2 linked regions of the Nothobranchius furzeri genome follow. The protein of the gene in region 2 binds, or shares a complex with, the protein of the main gene of each other region. Links are inferred from orthologs where the notes say so. Each region holds a gene or a part of one and is shown on either strand. Other genes may lie near its edges. The genes, in order: protein kinase C-binding protein NELL1 and robo3.

Region 1 (3,825 bases), on a different chromosome or scaffold from region 2:
GTGTCTGTAACATTTATATTCTTGATGACACCTGAAAAAACGTTCAAAGAACGGTTCGGAGTGAAAATGGCTATTTTGTTGCTAATTTACAGGAAATATCTAGAAGAAAGTAGCTAAGGATCCTCAGAAATGTAGCTAGGTTCGTCACTAGGTGTTAGGAACAGCGACAAAGTCGCTGAGTTTGCACTAGCTCACTCTCTGCTGCTAAAGCTACTGACAGCAAACGCTATGGGCTATGCCTGAGCGTGAACGTGCATGAAGCAGCCTGCTCGACCCGAGCATCTCTCTTTTTCTGTGATTTTACAGAAAAACAGACAATCACAGTAAAAATGCCAGGGCTCATTCCACAGGACCAGGGCATTGCAGGATAATGTATGAAGAAGAAATGTATTATTTCTATACATGTTTTGGCTGTCAAACTTCCATAATGCCCCTTTAAAGACAGAGGGACATATCAATTATGTATCATAAGGTAACAAAAACCAATTATCACACTATAATTTGGATCTCTAACTTTTTTTTCTAATAATTGTCTCATTACTACTCCATAAAGTCATCAGATACACATTAAAACATTAGGATGCATATGGAAATAACAGCTTGAGCACAGCTAGATCTTCAGTTAATAAAATTTAAAAGATGATTCAAATCATGCCGCAACAGCCTGCTGGCCATTTAAAACCAAAGTTACACCAGAAAAATACTTCATGTGTTGTAGGTTGTATCCTCAGCTGTTGTGAGTTGGGCGTGAGACTGACGATAAGTCAAATACCAACAGTGACATCCAACAAATCCAGTTACAATATGGGTTTGAGCTGGCTTTAGGGTCCACATTGCTAACACTGTTGTAGCTAAGGCAGCCACGGATTTATGAATTACATTGTTGATCTAACAATCGCAGCCGCCCAGCTACTGCTCGTATGGTAAGGGACAGATGTGGTTTGGAAAAGAGCTCTGGGTAAACCTCAAATGCAGTTCAAACAGATGCAGACATGCTGCGGGGCTCATGGCTACCAGAACACTTGGTGGATTTAGATTGCTGTGGCTACGATCCAAAGACAACTGAAACCAAGCACAGAGCAAATCCTCCAATCCACAATGAGATGTTTCCAAGATTTTTAATCAAATAAAGCCATTGACTTGATCTGCGCTAATCTGGGCCTCCAGCACCAAAACACTTGAGCTTTTGCTCAGCCAACAATACACCCACAGGACAATCACTGATCATTGACCTTTTCAAAACAGAATCAGTGAAAATCTACATAATTCAGTTTCAAAACACAGATTTTATGTTTAAGATAAAGTCACACGCTGGTGAAACTTCATCTCTGCGTTTGACCCATCCCCATGAGGGAGCGGTGAGCGGCAGCTGTGGCTGCACTCAGAAACCATTTGGTGGTTTAACTCTTAAAGCTGTGTGTCAAACGGTGAGACATCGGGTTCCATTTAAAAAAAAATGTAACAACCCGACTAGATTTGTTTCCGATCTCCCAGTCCCAGCACAGACACTCATACCACTAGGCCACTGATAAAGGTGGGCAGAACCAGAACACCCCCCCCCCCCCCCCTCTCAAAGAAAGTCCAACATCTCAAAGCAAAGTTTATCTGGATTAATACAAGATATTTTAACTTTTGATAAAGTTTCTGTCCTAAAACACACTGGATACAATGCAAATTGTGTTTCATGCTGCAGAAAGTCAACCAAAGCCAGTTCACACAACACAAAAAGCATGCTAATAATAGAAATCCCAGCTCATTGGTATTGTTCGACTGAGTGATAAATGGAAAACCAATGGCTAACATGTCCTTGAGAAAACACTGGTTGTAGTAACGGGTAGATTAGACAATGAAAACCTCCTTAAGCAAAAACTCCTTTTCAACAGAACATACATAGCCCATAAACAGCAGTTATGTTTTCATTAAACAAGCCATTCAATACATGTTTTTGCTCAAAACATACAACTTCAGGATCACACATGTGCAACCGTCATTCTCTTCACCATCAGTCATTATTGTGTCATATTCACAAATCTCCCTCTGGGTCTCATGACCCCCATAAAATACCTCTTTAAAGCAAACAATAAACCCATCCACCCACTTCTACCCATGCAGCTTCTTTGCATCCTGAGTGATTATATATTGTCAGCCACACGAGCCCCCACGAAACCTGAGCAGAGTAAAATAAAGTTGTACCTTCACAGTAAGTGGAGTCCCCGTGGATGGAGGCATAGCCACTCTTGCATTCACACTCTGCTTTAGTATTCCTGTTTTTACACTCTGAGTTTTCTCCACAAATGAGTCCCTCTGCGCAGAAGTCGTAACCTGAAAGAGAGAAACAGGGGAATCCATCAAATTTGCTTGCTGAAAAGACACACGCATCACTGTGAAACAGAAACAACCATGATTTTGCTGTTGACTGTGAGTGGCAGGGAGGGGTAGGAATCTGGTCTGATCTTTAGGCTTATCCCAAACTTAGTGCATTTATTCAAATATAGCAGTCACAGGAAGAAAAAACATACAAAAACGCAAAGGAACACAACTCTTTAGGATGCTATTGTTTTGTTCATGACAGTTCATTTCCCGATCCTGCTGTGTTGAATTCAAAAGATGATTGTAGATTTCACTAAATTCAGAAATCAAAACAATGATGTCAACAAAAATAAACATTTACTTAAAGACGACAAAGTGTGCTGAAGAAGCAGGTAATTTAAACTTTAAGTATAAATTAGAAGTAGTTGAGACAGAAAAAATATTTAAATAATAGTGGCGGCAGGCAAACACCAAGCTCTATCAATGAACACCAACATCTCCAAAAGAATAAATCCCGCAGACCATGGCGCTCTCATCTCATGACACTAGGACTGTTGGCAACATCTTGTGACTGATAGTTGCCAGAGTTTCCAACATTTTTCAAAAAATGTTGTCAGTGTCCTCTTTTGGGTTTTAGGGCCAATGACAGCGATGTCATGATGCTAGATTTTTGAGCAAAATATTTGAGGGATTAACTACAAAACTGCAATAGAAAGGAGGACATGTTGAAGAAAGACAACATAATTAAACTATTACTGCTAGATTGTAAGAAGAACATTTGCACCACATTCTCACTGCTATTACATCTTACCAGTCATGTTTCCACTGTCGGAACTTCAGGGTAACTGTAAATGCAGCTCTCTCAGGACTTTACGCAGACACCAGCAGGTTGTGACTGCTTCAGCAGTGAGTCATGTCACTGATCTGTACCAAAAAGCATCCGCAGTAACATTGATAGGATTTAAAGGTAAAAGTACAGCCTAATTAAATCCATTTGGAGCATGAAAGCAGCTGTGTTATGTACAATGCGGTGTTCAATAACCAGAAGATGCTTATTTTTTGTAGTTTTTTTTTACTGCACTCCATGAGACAACAAAGCCCTGTGATTTAAGCCATTGTGGGAGAATTCTACTATGTTTTTTGGTGTTGGGTGTATAGTAATGGCAATGTTACTTCTTTCTGCTGTGTTTTTGGGTGTCAGGTGTTTAGTAACGGTGATATTGTGGAATTCTGCCATGTTTTTTGGTGTTGGGTATTTAGTAACAGTGATGTGGGGAATTCTGCCATGTTTGTTGGTGACGGATGTTTAGTAACGACGATGTGGTGGAAATCCTCCATGTTTTTTGGTGTCGGGTGTTTGTGTTTTTTGGTGTTGTGTGTTTAGTAACGGTGATGTAGTGGAATTCCGCCGTGTTTTTTGGTGTTGGGTGTGTAGTAACGGCGATGTGGTGGAATTCTGCCGTGTTTTTTTTTTTTTTTTTTTTTTTTTGGTGTTGGGTGTTTATTAACGGTTAT
Region 2 (4,437 bases):
GGGGGGATATGTCGTTCCCCCCCCCTCCCCCCCCAAAAAAAAATTTACGTCCATGAACACTGGGATAAATGGCATTACTGCTTTGTAAAATAGAGATGCAACAAAGAGGTGTGGCTGTTTATTTGATGTTAAAATGGTGCATGGTGTTCTTATGATCAACAAAAATAAACATACAATAAACACACAATCAACATTTTATCAGAAGAGTCTATCTTTTAGTGTTTCTGTATTTTCTGCATTAAACAGCTGGAGGTTTGTGGTGAACAATAGTTACTGAGTTAAGGTTTTACCACTGTAGGTAAAATAGGTGTAACACCCTGTGTAAAGGCACCAGAATGCAGGAAATGAAATCTACACCATTTTTATTTTTTGTGCCCCCCCCCCCCCACCCCCCACCCCCGCATCAGTCGTGTCCCCCCCCCCCCCCCACACACACACACACACATTCTCATGCTTCCGACGCCCCTTGTAAAGCGCTTAAGAGTCCTCTGACTCTGACCAGCGCTAGGGCGGGTTGTTCATCGTTTATCATACCCTGTCCTCCGCCAGCCAGCTCCACTGGGGGAATCCTATGGCATTCCCGGGCCAGCCCACAAACACAACCCTTCCATCACATCCTCTGAATTTGGGTGGGGACTAAAACCAGCAGTTACTGAAGGTTGTAGAGGAAGCAGAGACCCACATGGCAGCACCTTTAACACTCCTCCAGTTCCCATCACAGAAACAGATCCAGCAGAATACTTTATGTATACGAACAAATACACACATCCTAATACCTCCGGTGCAGCTCATTAATAATCACTATATTTGCTGTAGCCACAACAACAAAGTGTTGTCCAGCTGCTACAGAAAGCTGTCCTTTATCAGGCTAGTTCCAGAAGAATGTTTATTTTTGTCCTTCTGGACCCAGAGGCCCTTGCAGAGCTCTAAAATCACTTTTACTTTAAGTTATTGAGCGAAGTTTCACTTTTAACTCGAATAACGGCTCAGTGACCGAGACAACCTGGAACCCTCCAGAGCCTGATGGAGGTGGAATAGATGGAAGTTCAAACAACGCAGCAGCAGTCCAGCCCTCAAGCATGTGTGTGTGTGTGTGTGTGTGTGTGTGTGTGTGTGTGTGTGTGTGTGTGTGTGTGTGTGTGTGTGTGTTTAAGAAAGACAGGAAGCTTATTCCATCCCTACCACCCTGATTCACAGCCTCCTGGGATGATTATTAATCTAATAATTAAACATTTATTGCCAACAACACCTGCTCTCTGTCTCCCTTCTGGACCGCCACCCACCCATCTGCCCCCTGGGACCCCATCATATAGAGGGAGAAAGAGGAGGGGAGTGAGAGGGAGGAGCTGGAGGGAGGGTCAGGGTGCGGAACAACCCCGGTCACATCGGTGGATTCTTCTACAGAGGCAGGAGGCTGGATGTTCTGAGTGCTGACAGAGTGTGAAGTTATTTCGTTTCAGGACAAAAGAAACAAGGAGGAGACAATCTGATGCTCAGAGGCATCACAGCACCCCCCGCCTCCACTCCACCCGGCTCAGGGCTGCAGTCATTTAGGGTAACTTTTCCTCTTACTGGGAGCCGGGGAACCAGGCTGCCTCACAGCAGGGGGGCTGCGGGTCCCTCCAGGAGCCAGGATGCTGCACTACCTCATCAAGACCCTGCTGCAGATGAACCTGTTTACTGATACCAGCCGGAGCCCGACCAGCAGCACCGATCTGCTCTTCAACGGATCTCTACCCTCATTTAACAGCTCTCTGCAGGAATGGGGAAACTTCTCCACCTTCAACGGTGAGTCTTTATGCTTTTCTATGTCCCATGCTGTTCTGGAGCGCCCGGTCTCTGTGAAGTACTTTGTGTTCCACTGGTCTCAGGTCAGATGTTTACAGAAATGTGAGTCAGTAATGGTCCAGCATCTTCTCCATATGTAGACCTCAGTGTTTCAGTGATGTCTCAGACTTCCAAGCTGGGTCCTCAAAAACTAGTCCTGACCTGATCTGAGTTCTGTAGAAGGTTAGGTTCAGGAAGAGAGGTGAAGATGTTGTGGATGTGATGAGAGGCTCTACAGCAGCCTGCTGTCAGATCAGTCAGACCCTTAGTCGGTCTGGTCATCAGGTAGACATCACGTCTGTCTTCAAGGTTGTAGAGGAGCTGCTTTGTTAGGGTGTCAGTAAATACCAGAAACACACACGCGCGCACACACACACACACACACACACACACACACACACACACACACACACACACACACACACACACACACACACACACACACACACACACACACACACACACACACACACACACACACACACACACACACACACACACACACACACACACACACACACACACACACACACACACACACACTCAACTCAACTTTATTTGAGCTATAAATAAAGGTTTGATTGATTGATTTGTAAATAGCGCCTTACAGGCAAAAAGATGCCACTAAGGCACTACACTGATCAAGTAAAAAACATAGCACACACACGCACACACACACACAGGCTCTCACACGCACACACACACACACACACACACACACACACACACACACACACACACACACACACACACACACACACACACACACACACACACACACACACACACACACACACAGCAAAAGGAGGGTTGAGCTGTCAATCACCCTGCATTCACTACAGTAGTGATCGCTGCAAATGTTTTAAGGCAAGCGTATCATCTGCCCATAAATCAAACCAGTCCAGGTCAGCAGGTCCTCACGACATGTTTGGTTCCGTCATTTCAGTCCAACCTCTTTTCAACGTTCAGCTTGACTTCATACAACTTTTGTCATGGAAACGGATCCAGATCTGGTGGTCTCTGAATTAGAATGTATGCCACAGATTTTCCCTCAGGGACAAATTTAGTTTGATAAGGATTAGGGTTCGGGTTAGGTTAGGTTGGGGGGGTGTTAGATTAGGGTTAATTTGATAAGATAAACGTAAACGTAGCAGGATTAGCCAAACAGCTACGGTTTACCTGCTGACTATGGACATACACTAAACGTTGCTCTAAAACAAAATACAGGTGAAAAGGGAAAAATGGGAATCTGGTGCAAAGGTTCATTTATGTCACTAATGAGGTTAAACTAATACATGAGACGGACTCATGCTAATCAAAGTCACGTGTTTAAGCCTGTACTTGTTAGAACTGTGATGATTGTGGTTGTTACAAACCCTAGGTGTTAAGCGTTGTGGCAAGGGGTAACATAAAAACTGATGCGGAGAAAGGAGGGGTGAGAGTAAATAAAAGGGTTTATTTCGCAGAATTCAACCCAAAATACACAGTCCCAGACTGGAAAGGTTCACAATGAATGTACGTAAACAAAACACACGAAGGAGAAACTGGAGATAACTCAAAACACCTGGGACAAACGGTCCCGGGGAGAAAAACACGACAATAACTATAGATCTAGACACGAAAAACAAAGAGCCGGAACTAACTAAAAACCAAATCTCGACGGCTATCAATATTATTACAAACACAACTTAAAGCGAGCTATAAAGCTAAAACGAAAACAAACGGCCTCACGGGGGCAGAATCAAACCGATCTTTCAAACGAATCAAGGATACTATCTGAAGTCACACCAAGTCAATCCGAATTACCAAACCGAGTTAATCGAGGAGAGAAAGACAGAGGTTTAATCTGTGGGTCTCTCGCTGAGAAACCGAAACAGGAATCTTTTAAGAGCGTCTCATCAGCGGTAGACTGTCCGCAGCTGAAGCAGAGTAGGCGGGCCAAGGCGGAGGCCAGCCTGATGGAGGACCTGTCCAAGGTCCTGAACAGCAGAGAGGGAACAGGACTGGGCCATACAAGGTGCGGGAGCCCAGGATCCGTAACAGCCCCCTCCTTCAACAAAAAAAAAAGGAGAAAACAGTAAGACTTGAACCAAAGACTGATGTCTAACTCTTTTTTTTTCTTTTACCATTATCAACAGTATCTTTAATACCATGAGGGCTCCCGCTAGCTACCTATCCAGACATTTGCTAACTAACCCCTACTTCTTCATGTGGACTAGAGGTGGGCTGATTAAACAGAAAATATCAGGTGGTGCTGATCCCCAGTACCACCGACTGTTCCCGAGATGTCTGGAGAACCAGGCAACGCTAACCTCTATCGCCACAACACTATAGAAAACAACAAACAGACTCGCCCTAAAGAGGAGGAGTCTCTACCACCTACCAGGGAGACCCTCACGGAATTTCAAGATTCAGACAGCCACGAGAGAAACCATCTGCCAAGACATTATTGGCACCACTCTTGTGACGAATTTCGATGGGGAACTCCTGTAAAAGCAGGGCCCATCGCATTAGTCTCTGGTTGTGGTTAAACATTCGTTTTAGAAAAACCAAGGGGTTGTGGTCGGTGTAGACGATGGTGGAAGAGGAAGAGGAGCCAACATAGACGTG

Evidence for each region.
Region 1: the proteins of robo3 (region 2) and protein kinase C-binding protein NELL1 are in contact, whole or in part, in a crystal structure (PDB 6POL), measured with the Homo sapiens proteins. The link is inferred for Nothobranchius furzeri from reciprocal best matches to the Homo sapiens genes ROBO3 and NELL1. Residues at the interface, in NP_071765.2 of Homo sapiens: Ser553, Pro555, Val590, Glu592, Phe594, Pro596, Asn600, Thr601, Trp602, Thr604, Ile624, Leu626, Arg630, Gly633, Ala634, Trp635, Gly636, Leu637, Ser638, Glu639, Pro646, Val647, Arg648; in NP_006148.2 of Homo sapiens: Ala440, Lys441, Met442, His443, Tyr444, His446, Tyr458, Arg468, Val469, Asp470, Asp471, Phe472, Ser473, Asp478, Ile492, Cys493, Thr494, Asn495, Thr503, Cys504, Lys505, Pro506.

Annotation. Positions count from the first base shown.
Region 1 is NC_091749.1:50,757,233-50,761,057, forward strand, and holds part of protein kinase C-binding protein NELL1, read right to left. Parts: intron 2,323-3,825; coding exon 2,194-2,322; intron 1-2,193. UniProt on the Homo sapiens protein: Plays a role in the control of cell growth and differentiation. Promotes osteoblast cell differentiation and terminal mineralization.
Region 2 is NC_091750.1:40,675,903-40,680,339, forward strand, and holds the start of robo3 (roundabout homolog 3), read left to right. Parts: upstream 1-1,406; 5' UTR 1,407-1,634; coding exon 1,635-1,788; intron 1,789-4,437. UniProt on the Homo sapiens protein: Receptor involved in axon guidance during development. Acts as a multifunctional regulator of pathfinding that simultaneously mediates NELL2 repulsion, inhibits SLIT repulsion, and facilitates Netrin-1/NTN1 attraction.